Linked DNA regions of Elephas maximus indicus. The protein of the gene in region 2 interacts with the protein of the main gene of each other region in a biochemical or structural test. Links are inferred from orthologs where the notes say so. Each region holds a gene or a part of one and is shown on either strand. Other genes may lie near its edges.

Region 1 (7,132 bases), on a different chromosome or scaffold from region 2:
CTTCTTGGCTCAAGTAGACACATGAGACTATGCGGGCAGCTCCTGTCTGGAGGGGAGACAGAAGGCAGAGGGGGTCAGGAGTTGGCTGAATGGATGCGGAGACAGAGGGTGGAGAGGAGTGTGCTGTCTCATTGGGGGAGGGTGGCTAGGAGTATATAGCAAGGTGTATATAAAGATTTGTATGAGATACTGACTTGATTTGTAAACTTTCACTTAAAGCACAATCAAATAAATAAACAAACAAACGTGCGCCGAGGTGACAACAGAGGTGTTCGGGGTGGACAGAGAAGCATAGCGGGAAAGCAGCACTGGCCAGAGGTCCAGAGAGCACGGTTCAAATTCCAGCTCTTCTCTGATACCAAGTCTCTCTCCCTCTGAGTCTCAGTTTCTTCAGCTATTAAATGGGGAGAAAACCACCTGATGTGCTTGCTTCCCACCGTCGTGGAAAGGATAAAATGGAGTCAGAGCGCTTTGCAAACTGGGAAGTGCCAGGCAAATGTGAGCTATAGTCACATCGCCGCTGAGGGCCAGGAGACACTGGACCCACTGGCTACAGTGTCATCACACACCTAGGCCTGGACTCCTGGGTGTCGGTGCCCTGCCATCCAGAGCTAGCGCCTCCGGCCACCTCATGGGTGTGGGGGATGTACCCAACATCCTGCTGCCAGATGGTGACCCTATATGAGAAGCCACAGCACCTGGCTCTCAGCCTCCAGCTGCTCCCTTAGCACTGCCTGCCTGGTCTCCACTTAGGAACAGGGCAGCCAGAACACAGCCCTCCGGGATTTCCTGAGCAACTATTCCATGCAAGGCACAGGCCTTGCCAACTTCACAGGTTCTTTTAGAGCCAACTGAGATGACAGATGTCAAAATCAGTAACAACTTGATTATCATTTCCATCCTGATTCCTATCACCACGACGATCACCACCCTGGACGGCCAAGGAGACAGGAAAAGAAGAACGGCTTGTTTCTCAGGGTTCTAACACCTGCACGGCCAACCCAAGGCGGGGCCCCATCATGAGCAATGCATTCTGGGGTTAGATTACCCAAACACAGAGAGTTCCAGAAAGGGCTCCACCTCACACTTCGCAGAACTCCAGCCTGCAGGAGGGTCTTGAGGCCGCGGCCACCGCGAAGAGCCATTGCGAGCCCTCGAGGTTGGCTCCCCCCATTTCCTCTCTCGTGGCTTTGTCATTTCTGAACTCATTTTGTTCTAACTGTCTCAGCTCCCTGGTCAGCCCCCAGCTGACAGTCAGTTCTGGTTCCTGTTTTGAGAAATCTGATAGCAAACGTCTTAGAAAAAAAGGGGCCCTAACGGCCTTTTCAAAGCGCAGGCCCATTTTCCTCTCTCTCCCAAGCTTGGTGTTCAGTCAACGTGAAACCCAGCAAAAGGGCAGGGTGGAGGGCACCATTGGGAGACTCCTGCAGCTCCAGGCTGAGGCAGCTGCGGCCCTGCTCGGGGGCCTCAGGACACCACAGAGCCACAGCCCTCATTTCACGTCATCCACATTTCACAGATGAGAGAACCGAGGCCCAGACATGGGAAGGGACTTGCCCAGAGTCACAGCAGGCCCGCTCCCAGGCATTGGAGGAATGGCTGGGACTGGCCACGTGACATAAGGAATCACGGTGGGCACACAGCCCTCACAGATGCAGCGTGTCCAGGCAGTAGACGGAACGTAGAGCTAGAAGCTAGAATCCCTGAGGTGGTGGCCGGGTTCCACCCTGTGTTATCTGTGTATCAGTGGGCAGGCCACTCACCTCTGGAGCTTCTGTTTCCCCACCTGTTCCACAGGAATGAATCCACACCTGTCCTACCCACCCCACGAGCTGCTAGGAGGCCCGTACAATGGGAAAGCCATAAAGTGCTGGACAGACTGAGCCCTCTGCATACCCTGTATACCTGCAGCTACATCCTGAAAAGTTTTAAACTTTGATACCAAGCATGGTGACATCAGCTGTCTTACAGAGGTGGCAACCCTGGCCCAGCTGCCGCAGGGCTGCTGGAATGTCCCCTGGTCAACAGCACTCAGCAGGGCACACCACACACAGGGCCCACCAGAGAAGGCATGCCAAGGGGAGAGGACACAGTGGGCGGCCCAGCCAGCACCCGAGCACAGCCCACCTGGACACCGTGCACAGATCCCACCGGGCTCCCCCTACACACCTGCCCAAAAAGCACTCCCAGATTCAGCCCCCGGACAGTGGTCCCATGACAGGAGTGGGAAATATCCCCAGGAAGCAGCCCCAAGACTTGTTGCCCCCCACCCCAACCTCCAACAACTGGCAGGGGTGGGGGAGAGGAAGCGGTGCTGGGGGTAGGAGCAGCCCAAGCATGGGCGATAGCTGATAGCTCCGGCCAGGCAAATGACGGCAGGCCGAGGAGACCCCGCGGGGACCAAGGGCTGCTCAGAGGAGTAAGAAGGGGAGAAGGCAGCAGTGTGGGGCTGACAGGGAGGGAGGGAGCCCGGAGTGGGCCACGGGACGCTGGGAGCGCCTGGGAGACAGTTGAGCTGGGAGCCCGGGGGCCCCAGGTTCAGGTGCACGGGGCCTCGGGACCCAGTCGGAGCCGCTCAGGGCTGCTGGCCCGCGAGCAGCGGCGGGGCAGAGGGGGTCCCGAGGGCCAGTGCTGGGGGTCTGGGGCTGCGGGTCGGGGCTCCGGGTCGGGACTCGGGGCACGGGGCTGCGGTGGGGTCGAGGCAGGGGCGCCCCGCGCGCGGCCTCACCTGGGCTCGGGCAGCAGGATCTTCTTGCTGGCGCGCGCGGCCGGCGTGGCCTTGCTCTTCTCCATGGCCATCAGGTAGCTCACGTCGGCCAGCACCGCCTCCAGGTCCGCCATCTTGGCGGCGGCGGCGGCCTCCTCCCGCCGCTCCGCTCCCTCGCTGCTCGGCGCGCTCGGCCGCCCGGCCGCTCCGCTCGGCTCGGCCGCCGCCGCCGCCCGCTCGGCCCCGCGGCCCCGCTCGCCCGCTCACAGGCGGCGCCGCCCCATAGCGCCGGCTCGGCCCGGCCGGCTCGCACTCCGCTCCCGCCGGGACTGCAGTCGGGGCGCCGCCGCCGCCGCCGCCGAAGCCGCCGCCGCCGCCGCCGTCGCCGCCGCCCGCGCCCCGGAGCCGCCGGAGCCACCGCCGCCTCCGGCCCCGCCTGCCGCGCACAGCGCCAGGAGCCGCGAGGGGCCGAGCCGGCGGCGGCGGGGCGCCCCCTGGAGGCTGCGGGCCGCCTGGCCTGACCCCGAGCCAGGCTTGGGACCAGGAGCCCAGACCCCGACCGTGACCTTGGCTCCAGGCCCAAACACCACAAGGGCCTGGGACCGAATGGGACCCCAGACCCAAACCTTGACCACAACCTCAGATCCCAACTCCAGACTGGGCTCCCCAGGCTTGGCTCTGACACTGACCACGACCTCAGACCCAGACTTCAGAACATGATTTCCAGGACTTCAGCCTCAGACCCTGACGGTAGCCCCAGACTCCCTGACCCAGGACTCAGTCCATGACCTGGATAGCAGTCCTGACCCCAGACTCCAAAACAGGAACCCCAGACCCAGACCTTGGGCCAAGACCTCACACACTGACCACAACCTGAGATGACAACCCTGGGCAGCCGACTCCACACCCAGACCTTCACGCTGACCCTAGAGTCCCCAGTAGGACCCCCAGATCCAGACTTTGGACCATGACCGCAATCTGGTTACTGACCCCAACCTTGATTTCAACCCCAGAACCACACCATTACCGTAACCATGATTCCTGGACTTGATGTCAGGGCCCAGACCTGGATTTGAACCATCAAGACCGGACCAAGGTCCAAGACCCAATGCCCGGGACTCTAGACACACAGGACACAGGACATTCAACCCGGACCCAGAACCCTGAACAGGTCACCAGGACCAAGGACCTGGGACTTGACAACTACAGCCAGACTCCAGACTTCTCCCAGCCCCATTCCGGCCTCAGGACCCCCAGACAGGATCAAGGACCCTGCACCCAGCTCCACCCACTCTGGATGAGCCCAGCCCCCTTCCCTGCACCCCATCCCATCCAGAGGCTGCTGTTCATTCAGATGACTCCACAACGTGGGATCAGACAGACAGGGCACAGGGGCTTCAGCACTGCCTGGCAAAGGAAACCCACCACGCTGAGAGCCCACTCCCAGGTAGGGAGGAGCCGTGTGGCTCCAGGTAGCACCACCATCTCAATGTTCCCCTCTTCAGAGCCCCTCTGTCTTTCTCAGGTGACAGGACCCACTCCCAGTCCTGGACATGTGGAGCTCAATCTTCAGGCCAGTTCAGCAATCAGGACCCTCTTGCAAAACAGGGACCCCCTCCCCGGGGACTTCTCAGGGAAGGAGGAGGCCACAGCTACTTTCTCAGATCAGCCCCAGCAGAGCCTAGAACCAGAGCACCTCAGAGAGGGCAAGGTCCCGTTCTCAACGAGTGACACCCCCATGCACCTAGATACCCAAGTCAGGACTCCAGGCATCATTCCTTGATTCACTTCACCATTTTTTTAAATCACCATACCCTCTTATCTGGCCCCCTGAGAATCTCCTTGAAGCTGTTCGTGTCTCAGGATCCCCATGACCACTGCCCTGGTGCAGGCCCTGACCAGACTTGCCTCTCCCAAATCTATATCTAACCAGGTCACCACCTGCTTAGCATCTAGAAGTGGATTTCTAGGCCTTCTGGGGCTGCTGAGGGTCGGGGACCCCAAGGGAAACTGCAGACCCCCACTCCACTTTGTTCAAAGCAGACCAGGTTAAGATGCTTTTGAACCTGCAAGTCAAGGTCTTGGGTGACTGGGCCCTGCTCCCCTTTTCCCCATCCTCTGCACCTGGGGTCCCTCCACCAGCCTACCTATGACTCCTCACCTCCGTGCCTTTGCTGTTTCCTGTGCCTTCTTCCTTGGCTAACTCCTGCTCATCCTTTAAGACCCACCTCCTCCAGGTAGCCTTCCCTGACCCCGTGACCTGAACTGGGTACATCTCTGACTCTGCATTTTTACCACCTGTTGTTGTTGGATGCCTTAGGGTCCATTTCAACTCATAGTGAGCCCATGTGACAGAATAGAAGAGCTCCATAGAATTTTCTAGGCTGTAATTACTACATAAGTAGATCCCCAGATTTTTCTCCCGCAGAGCTGCTGGGTGGGTTTGAACTGCCAACCTTTGGGTTAGCAGTTAAGTGCTTAGCTATTGTACCACCAGGGCTCCTTACTTACTTATGAGAACCAGTTTCCTTGATTTGAAATCATCAATAGCAAGGTGCACCATTTCACGTTTTTGACCATGGGGGTGGGCTTTATCAAATGTTTGCATCAAGTGGAAAATGCATCGTGATGTTGGGAATGCTCAGTTCAAAAAAAAAAGGAGACACTGCATCTCCCGTGGTACCGAGGCTCCAGGTTTATCTCTTGCCCCCGGTGTCTGGCACAGGGCCCAGCACAGGGACTGACACAGACAGGACATTTGTCAGTATCTGATGAATAAATGAGCTCCCTACCCAAGGTGTCGTGTGGAATTGGGGGCAGAACAGGGCCAGGGGCACACCAGGAAACCACAACAGGAGGCCCTGAACCCTCTCCCTGACCCCAGCCCCGAATCATGAGGACTGTGAGTACAGCCGTGTGCTGGCCTGGGTTTTCTGGGACAGGCTCCGTTTAGGAAATTCTTCCTGAGGAACTTATCAGACCAGGGGCTGCACGTGGGTTCTGGGAGGCAGCCCTGCCTTCCTCCACCACTTGAGAACCCAGATGGCCCCTCCTGCCTGCCCACAGCTCAACCCACATCCCGGGCTAGGCCGGAAGCCCTCGAGGGAGCCTGTCTCCTGGGTGCCCCTCAGTGAGTCCAGGGGCCCAGGAAAGTGGGTTCTGGAAGCCCGGGTTAGGAATAAAGTGGTGCCAGTACCTGACCCCAGGGAGGCTGATTTTTGGGATGGTGCTGCCCTCTGGTGGTATGGGAAGGCCGGTTGCTAAGCTTGCCTTATCTCACAGGCTTCAGGCATTCCTTCTCTCAACAAACCTCGCTGGTGCCCAGAAAGTGCCAGGCTTTAGCTGGGATGCTGGGAGTGCAAAGAGGAAAGGAACCCCAACTCCACCCAGCTGGCAGACTCGTAGACACATGGTTACTTGGTATCTGCACCGATGACTAATGAAGTTTTGCAAACTTAACACATCCCACACGGGGCTCTGACTCCCGCTGCCCAGCTCTTGCCTAGCCTGTTCCTCCTGCCTCCGCATCTCAGTCATGGCTCCTTCACCTTCCAGAAACTCTGGAGTCATCCCAATTTCACGGTTCCTTCATCTCCCGCTTCACCTCACATACACGCACGCTGTCAGCCAGCCTGTCCTGTCGGCTACCTGGTGTGTCTGTCTCTAAAATATACCCTGAATCCTTCCACTGTGGCCTGTGAAACCCGGGCCTGAGTCCCCATCACCTCCCTCCTAGATGCCCACACCTGCTCCTGAGGTCTCCCTCTTGTCCTCGAGCCCATCCGTCCACTCCCCCAGCAGTCAGCCAGAGTTTTCACAGACCACAGTCAGACCTGCCTCCAATAGCTGCTCCCCGCATGTAGGGTAAAGCCCACCCTCCTTTCTGGGACCTGTAAAAGCTGTGTGGCCTGGCCCCTGGCCACTGCTTTAACTCCTTCCCCCTTCCTCTTGTTCCTTGGTGTCTGACCTCCCTGGTCTTTCTGTCGCTAGGACAAGCCGAGCTCAGGTTCACCTCTGGGGCCTTGCCTCTATGGCTCCCCATGCCCAAACACCTTTTCCCCCACTTCCGGCATGGTGGGCCCCTGCTCAAAGCTCTCCCTTGGAACTTCTCTCTGTGGTGGTCACCATGGCACCTTTCATACCCAGCATGGCCCCTGGCACAAAACTGGGGCCACAGAGAGAACAGGACTCAGTGTCAGCCCAGTCCAGTGGGGAAGAAGATCCTTAAACGCACACCTCCAATTAACCAGGCAAGAGCTATAATACAGGTAGGTGGGACACTCAGGGGAAAAGTGTGGTCAGCTGGAGGGTCAGGGAAGGCCTGAGCGAGGTCTTGACTGTGTGTGCACAGATGAGGTCTGGGATGAGGACCAGCACACACCAAGGTCCAGGAGGGGGTGTTCCCGCCTGCTGGAGCCTCATGTC
Region 2 (7,892 bases):
TAATAATTCAGGCCGATTTCATATTGGCCTTTGGGGTGATCATCGTATGCCTATCCATACAATGGCTTGGATAACTGCTCCTCCTTCTGAACACCTATAGCAATCTATTCCCTATACTCAGCAGGGAATGCTCTGCACCTTGTGTTGTTGTTTGTTCGTTAACGCATGCGACTGACCGCCCAAATAGAGTATAAAGGCTTTAAGGAAGGGCCTTGGATGGCTCTGGCATAATGCCCTGCCTGGGACAGGCAATCTGTGAGTGTGTTTGTCTTTGAGGCAGGTTGTTTATTTGTCACTTACTGAGTATCTGCTCTGGGCTAGGCGTTGACGACTGTTATGGAAGACACAGTCCCTGCTCTCAAGCAACTCCCAATCTTATGGGAGAGTTGTTAGTTGCCGTCAAGTGGATCCTGCCTCACGGTGATCCTACGTGTTTCAGAGTAGGACTACTCTATACGTAGCGCCTTCAAGGCTGTGAACTTTTGGAAGCAGACTGCCAGGCCTGTCTTTCAAGGTGCCTCTGGGTGGGTTTGAACTGTCAGCTTTTTAAGTTAGTAGTCCAGTGCTTAACTGTTTGCTCCGCCCAAGGACTCCTGGGAGAGAGAGAGAGGGAGAATAAGTAGACAATTACAGCAGGGTGGCACAGGCTATGAAGCAGCCATGCTATGTGACTATGAGAACAAAAGAAGTGCTGAGAGTCATTGATTAACAAGCTTTCCCTTCCCCAGGAGCTCTTTCTACAAGAACTGGGCCTTTTCATTGAGTCTGGGATCACTCCTCACAATACTGAACTATGACTTTTACTGCTTTGTTCTGCCCCACCCCAGAGTCCCAACGACAGGTAATGTGATTGTGGTGATAGGTATCCACCTTAGGATACCAAAGAAGATGTGACAGTCTTCCCATTTTCCTCTGGAGTTTAACGTTCTTTGGGTTTTGTGGTTCGCTTTTCAGCTATCTAGTAAATTCTCAAAATGTTTTTTTTTTTTATCTTGCTATCTGGGGTGATTTGGGATTGCTCATTTATTTTTATGAGGTGTAGATCCCCATTTATTGAAAAGTTATTCATTCTCCACCTTCCTCGTGAAGTCTTCAGTTCTCCCTAACAGAAGGAATTATTCCTTTCTTTCTAAAACGTTTTACATTGTCACTTCTACCCCTACTTTAATAAAATTAATCTCATTTTGTCTTTTATTACAGCTGTTCAGAGCCTCATTATATCTTAAGACTATAAGCCTCTTGAGGGCAAGACCATATTTGATTCACCCTAGTGGCTCTCTCTTCCTGCACCTTCATCTTTGTTATTTATACACAGTGGGCAATGAATAAATGTTTCTTGATTGATATACTGACATTTTGTAACATGATTCATGTTTAGTTGCATATTTTAGAGTATATGCTTCTAGAACATGGCCGATAACTTTAGTAGTTCCTGCAAGGATTTTTTTGTGTGACATATGAATATTTGTTTGATAAATGCTTTTCAGATATATAGGTAAAGGTTTCTGGATAAGTCTAGGTTCAGACATGGAATATTCTTTTCCTCTTTCCTTCTTGCCACCTACACATGGCTCTATTATTGCGTTGGTTTTCCTTACTTCCTGATTTCTTCCCAGTACTTGAAGAAACATCTGATTTGTTCTATCTATGGAAACCATGGTGGCATGGTGGCTAAGTGCTACAGCCATTGACCAAAGGGTCGGCAGTTCAAATCCGCCAGGTGCTCCTTGGAAACTATGGGGCAGTTCTACTCTATCCTATAGGGTCACTGTGTCGGAATCGACTCGATGGCAACGGGTTTTTTTTAATTCAAATATCTATTGAGTGCCAGGGAGTGTCACTGATACTGGGTGTGCAAGGGTGACAAACTAGATTTCCAATGTATCTACAAGGTTCAAACCCACCCATAGGCACCTCAGAAGTAAGGCCTAGAGATCTGCTTCCGACAGGCCACAGCCTCGAAAGCCCTAAGAAGCAGTTCTACTTTGCACACATAGGATGGCCATGAGTTGGAATGGGCTGGACAGCAACTACCAATAACAAACCATCTGCTGAAACAGTTTAATTTCTTCCATCAAATAATAGGTCAATTCAGTCAAAACAGATTACCTGATAGTTTGATAGCACTGTTTGAGAGACATTTTCAAAAGACTCAGTGCATCCTTTGTGAGGAAACCGCAGACTTGAAGCTCGCTGTCATTTGATTTTCTATTGTTTTTTGCCTCTCTGAAACTCAAGTATATACGTATGGCAGAGAATGCAGACTCATCATTAAGTTTTTTTCCCAGAAGCCATTCTAAATTTCTGCATATTGAATTTCAATCTTTAATTTCATCAGTCACTTAATTTTAAATTTTTAATCTGGCAGCAAGTTTACTGGCTTTTCATAGACTTTTGCATAACAGAGGCGAGATTTGCCCTGTCTGCTTTCCTGGTCAAGGTGAAATTGAATCATTTTCTGGGCTGAATATTCTTTTAAAAACCAAACAAAAAACAAACCCGTTGCTGTCACGTAGATTCTGACTCATGATGACCCTATATATAAGAGGGTAGAACTGCCCCACTGGGTTTCCAAGGAGCAGCTGGTGGATTTGAGCTGCCAATCTTTTGGTTAGCAGCCATAGCTCTTAAGCACTGCACCACCGGGGCTCCATTCCTCTAAAAAGGAAACTAAAACAGCAGATCTTATACCTCCATGATTTGCTTTTCCTTCTGGCTTACAGTGTGTGTGTGTGTGTGTGTGTGTGTGTGTACGTGCTGGGGTGGTATGGGGGTAATGACAAATGGAAAGAACGAAGTCATAGAGCTGTCAACCAAGAACCCAACGTGCGCTGACCTACAGCAATAGTACAGGCTACCTTTGGCTTGGCTTGACCTTACTTTACATTCTGGATCAGCACCTTGCACCAGAGACATCTCAGAGAAAACATAAAATGAGAAAAAGAGACTCTCCTCATAAAGTATACTTGAGCAGGAAGCAATGCGGGTTTCTTTCACCTCTTCTAGCTGTTAGATCAACAACACCCGCAATCGGCAAGGAAAAAATTTTTTTGCCATTTATCAGTAGTACATCACAACAAAATAAGCCTCAATCAAAAGTGGAAAAACAAATAATCAGAATGGAATTTTGCTGGGACAATCTTGATTTTCTCATTTTTATATATGTATTTTTTCCTTTTCCTTTATCCCACATTATTTTGCATTTTCCCATACGTCATCCATAACTGAATCTCCGTCTAGGAAAATAAGTTTGATTACTTGCTGTTAAACACCATGTGTCTTCACAAAAACAAGAGGCGGCCTTGTAAAAAACAAAACAAAACCACCTTCAATGGCATGAAAAGTTGGAGGCCATCGGGAAGCTCTTGCAAACTTGGGCGTCTTCATTTTTCTACTCAGGATTTAGATTTCTTTGTGGACCGTTTCGCCTGTTAATCTTCCTCTTGGCCCCTCCAAGAACCAGTGACTATTTCTTCTATTCCCCAGTCCCACCCCACAACTCAGATGATCTTTATTTTCTACGACTGAACTAGGGTCAGAGGTGATGCAAGATACTTTCTAACCGAATGGCGTTTTAGAAACAGGAATGAGAAAGAATACACAAGCGGGTTTACGGCTGCAGTGGGGGGGGGGGCAGAAAGGCGCTGCTGCAATAGGGGGCCCTGGCGCGAGCGCCACCGCCGCCTGCAGGGAGCGGGCAGGGTGTGTGCGCCGCCAGGCTGTTCGGTGGGTTTGCGGGCCTGAATCCTCCGACTTCCAGCAGGGGCCGAGGCTGCTTTCCCGGGCTCGAGGGCTGGAATTCCAGGCAGGCGGAGGCCGCCATATTCCTGCTTTACCACGCCCGGGCGGTTGGCCCGGCAGCGGCAGGTTGGCGGCGGCCCCAGACCACAGCAGCGGCCGCCGGTTGGGGCACCGCGTCAGCCAGCCAGGGGGACCCAGCCCCCGCCCCGACCCCCGCCGGGGGCGGCCGTGACCGCTGCGCCCGCGGGCCCCTACGAGAGCGCTGGAGCGGGAAGCGCCCGCAGAGCCGGAGGGGGCCGGTCCCGAGCGGTGAGCTGCGCGGGAGAGGCCGGAGCCGCACCAGGAGGCGCGCCGCGGCGGCTGCGAACCCAGGAAAGCCTTCCAGGAGGGGCCGGGCGGCCCCGCCTCCCAGCTCCCCTCCTCCCGCGTCCGTCCCCTAGCTCCCTCTTCCCCCTCCTCCCGCCGCTGCCGCCTCCCTCCCGGATCTGTGCTCCAGTTCAGAGAAAGAAGAAAATGTGTGTGTGTGGCGAGGGGGAGGGCGAGCAGTGAGCAGCCGCTCCGCGCCTGGCAATCGAGGCCGGGGGTGGGCGTCTGGCGGAGGCGGAGACGGAGGAGGAGGAAGGAGTACGCGGCGGCGGGCGGTCGAACCGGCCGGCAAGCGGTGTTTGCGCGCGAGCCGGGCGGTGGGCGCGGGCAGGGCCGAGGGCGCCCGGGAGCCGTGTCAGGCGGCGGCGAACAGCGGGCGCGCCGGGCGCGGGGAGCCGTCGGCGGCCGCTGGCTGCGGGGACGTCCCGGTGGATGTGCTCTTGCCGCCCGGCGCCCAGCTTAGGGGAGTCTCGGCGGCCGCGGCGGCGCGGGGGGCGAGGCGGGCTCCCCGTTCCCGGGGAAGGAGGCGCGGGCGTCTGAGCGAGGCCGGGCGCGGCGGCCTTCCCCCGCGCGCCCCCCGAGCCAGCGCCCGCGGCCGCCTCCCGCGCCCGCCTCGTTCCTCCCGCGGCCCAGGGGACCACTCCGAGCCGTTCGCTCCCGCCGCGCCCCCCGGCCCACCAGGTGGCCCGGCCCTGGCCGTGGTCCCCGCGGCGGCTCCCCGAGCTCGTCCCGGCCGCGCGCCCGGGCGGCGAGGGCTCGGCGGCCACCGCTGCCTCCGGGGAGCGAGGGTGGGAGGGTGTGTGTGCGCGCGTGTGAGCAGGGGGTGCCGGCGAGGCTGCAGCGGAGGCACTTTGGAAGAATGACTCTGGAGTCCATCATGGCGTGCTGCCTGAGCGAGGAGGCCAAGGAAGCCCGGCGGATCAACGACGAGATCGAGCGGCAGCTCCGTAGGGACAAGCGGGACGCCCGCCGGGAGCTCAAGCTGCTGCTGCTCGGTGAGTACGGCCCGGGCCCGGCCGCCTGGTGCCCTCTCGCCGGGCTTCCGTGTCCCCGCCCGCCACTCCCGGCCCCTCGGGGTAGCTGCCCATGGCGCCCCCAGCCCCCGGCGCCTGTGGCTCACCCCTGCCCTCCCTGGGCGCGCGGGCGCGCCCCTGGCCACCACCCGCAGGCGCGCGGACGCGTACAGACACGCGCGCGCGCGCGCACTTATACACACACACACACACACACACACACACACACACGCACGCTTCATGCTGCCCTGCCGGGTGCCTTGGCGTGTGCCTTTTCGTGTCCCTAGGGCTGTGAATTCGGGGTGCGCGTTTATCTGCTGTGCATCTGCTAAACGGAAAATCACTTCACGGGAGAGGCTCGGGGCGCGGGGGTGGGAAGGTGGGCAGAGAGGTTGAACTTAAAGTGTCGTAGCGCGGCGCCCGGTGGGATGGTCGCGTGGGGAGCTGTGTGTGTGTGTGTCCCCGAGCGTGGCGAGCGGAGCCAGGACACGCTAGAAGATGGTGTGTGGTGGAGTGGCGTGTGCATCCGCTATCAGTGCCTTCTGGGGTCTGGAGTTAATTGGGGAGCGGTGGGCAGACTCGCGGCTGGATTCGCCAAGAGTGGTGATGAGGTATAGGAGTGCCTGGTCCTCCAAAGAAAGGGGGCTTATGTACTGGGGAGAGGGGCAGCCCCAAATGCTACAGAAGTGCTATTCTTTAGCCGTCAGACCACCGAAAGGAGGGACCCCAGAGGAGTTTCTTGGCCAGTGGATAGTGACAGGCTTGTTTCTCGTCTGCACCATTCCTTCCGGATAAAAATGAGGGATATGGGAGCGCTGTGCTGTGTGGTTGTTGACAGCGACGGGTATCTTTTGTTTAATGAAGGCAACCCAGATGTAGGCCTGAATTCACAATAGTTACTACTGAAAACCCATGCAGCCTCCAATTACTCCCATGGAAACAAATAGAAACCTTTTGTTTGTTTTAAACAGACATCGTTTTAATATCATTGGAATCTGGGCTAGAAGGAAAACGGGAAGCTTGTAGCAAAAATTTCCCTTTAATCTCTAAACAAACAACTCAACATTCTGCTTTAACACTAAGTTAGCAAGAAAATGCCATTTCTCAAATAGGAATTCTATTGATTATTATCTCCGAGAGAATGTTCAGTGTCAAGCCATCAGGGTTCACATACAAGCCAGCATGACATAACTCTGAGCTTTTATTGTGGTAGGAAGTGCAAACAGCTTTGCAGTAACAGGCCTGAAAAATGTCTGCACTTGTGTCCTGGCTTTTTGCTTGTATAATAAATATGTTTCTCCAACATTTCAGTAAGAGAAGAATATTGCATTGTCAGTTAGGGTTTGAGAAGCAGGCATTTTCTTATCTTGAGCGTTCCATCTTCTGGCTCAAGGAACCAATTGCCTTTGTGACTGAACTGCTATGTACTGGATCATTTACAAGAAGGAACAAAATATAATGATCACACATAGTTACAAATGGTTAATTCACATGCCATGCGTTATGTCTTCATTTGGAAACCCGATTAGGTAAGTGTGCACAGGTTTATAAAGAACAGAAGGCAGAGCCCTAGATGAAAGAGGTGGGCTTAAGGGAAACTCCAGTTGGAAAATGAAGGTTTTTTTTTTTAATTCTCATTTTTGGGTTGCTTTTAATGGTTGACAATGTATAGTTGAATGTTTTCTGAATTCTCAAGATGAGGAGAAAATAGAGAGGGCAAGAAAAATGTATAGAGTGCTTAAGGGCTCAATTACGGGAAAAAGCATGTGTTTTAGGGTGATTTCAGTGATTTGTCTTTCGAGTGATTTGATTTTTCTTTTGCCGTTTACAGTCGTTAGTTGTTTCTGCCTAGCTGTGAACAGGGCGTTGGAGGTCTCTCAAGCCAGCCCTATTGCCTGAAATTGACAGCAGCTCTGAGTTTCCCAGCAGCTGAGTTAGAGCTGGGGCTTTGCCCCAGGGCCTATGTTTGAATGCCTAGGAGGAAGACTGCTGGGGAAATAAAACATATATGGATGCCTGATTACATACTGTGCATTTAAATAACACACTGTGCATTTAAACATGAACTAGGAGATGATTTCGTGAGGGGAAAAATGGAAAGTAAAACAGTGTTCCTGCTAAAGTGGTGTTGGTGTGGAGAACTTCCCCCCCCATTAGGTTTTTGAGTAGGGTTTAATACAGCCCTCCTGCCCCCATATGACCTATTAGAAGTGGTAGGGAAATATGACATAAATTGAGAATCTCCGTTTATAAGTAAGGTTTAAAAATGCTACAGCCGTCTATCAGAAACACGATCACTGGATATCATGTAAGAGCTGGTACAGCTTTATGTTCTAGGTTTATTGCACTGATAACATGTAACCACTGCAATATCTATAATGTGGATATAGTCACAGCATACACTAAGTGTAGATTTGTGGGTGAGTGCGGGAGCGTGATTTCACAATTTTTTGAGTCCAAGAGGGAAATGATGGTTGATTTGCGGAACAAGGGAAGGTGTTGGGGAGGGGTTCCCTTTGAGGAAGCCCTGATGTGTGCTGTGCTGCTGAGTAGACTGAGCCTTCCGGTTCCTCCATTCATTTAATCGGTATCAGCCCAGAGGGGGTGACACTATATGTTCTTTCACAGTTTAAAGATTTCCTAGTATTTTTTAACCAGCTTATTTAAATTGAAGAATCACCTGCATATTGATATTCAGTATAAAATTATTTTCAAAGTAAATTGTGGGTCAAGGCATGATGCCATTTTAATGGGCTTGTTGGACAGGGGTAT

The links. The genes of interacting proteins can lie anywhere in the genome.
Region 1: the proteins of guanine nucleotide-binding protein G(q) subunit alpha (region 2) and GRK2 form a complex in vitro, tested with the Homo sapiens proteins (3 studies listed by BioGRID). The link is inferred for Elephas maximus indicus from reciprocal best matches to the Homo sapiens genes GNAQ and GRK2.

What each region holds. Positions count from the first base shown.
Region 1 is NC_064825.1:130,316,338-130,323,469, reverse strand, and holds the start of GRK2 (beta-adrenergic receptor kinase 1), read right to left. Parts: upstream 3,070-7,132; 5' UTR 2,842-3,069; coding exon 2,729-2,841; intron 1-2,728. UniProt on the Homo sapiens protein: Specifically phosphorylates the agonist-occupied form of the beta-adrenergic and closely related receptors, probably inducing a desensitization of them. Key regulator of LPAR1 signaling.
Region 2 is NC_064827.1:94,374,637-94,382,528, reverse strand, and holds the start of guanine nucleotide-binding protein G(q) subunit alpha, read left to right. Parts: upstream 1-4,869; 5' UTR 4,870-4,966; coding exon 4,967-5,102; intron 5,103-7,892.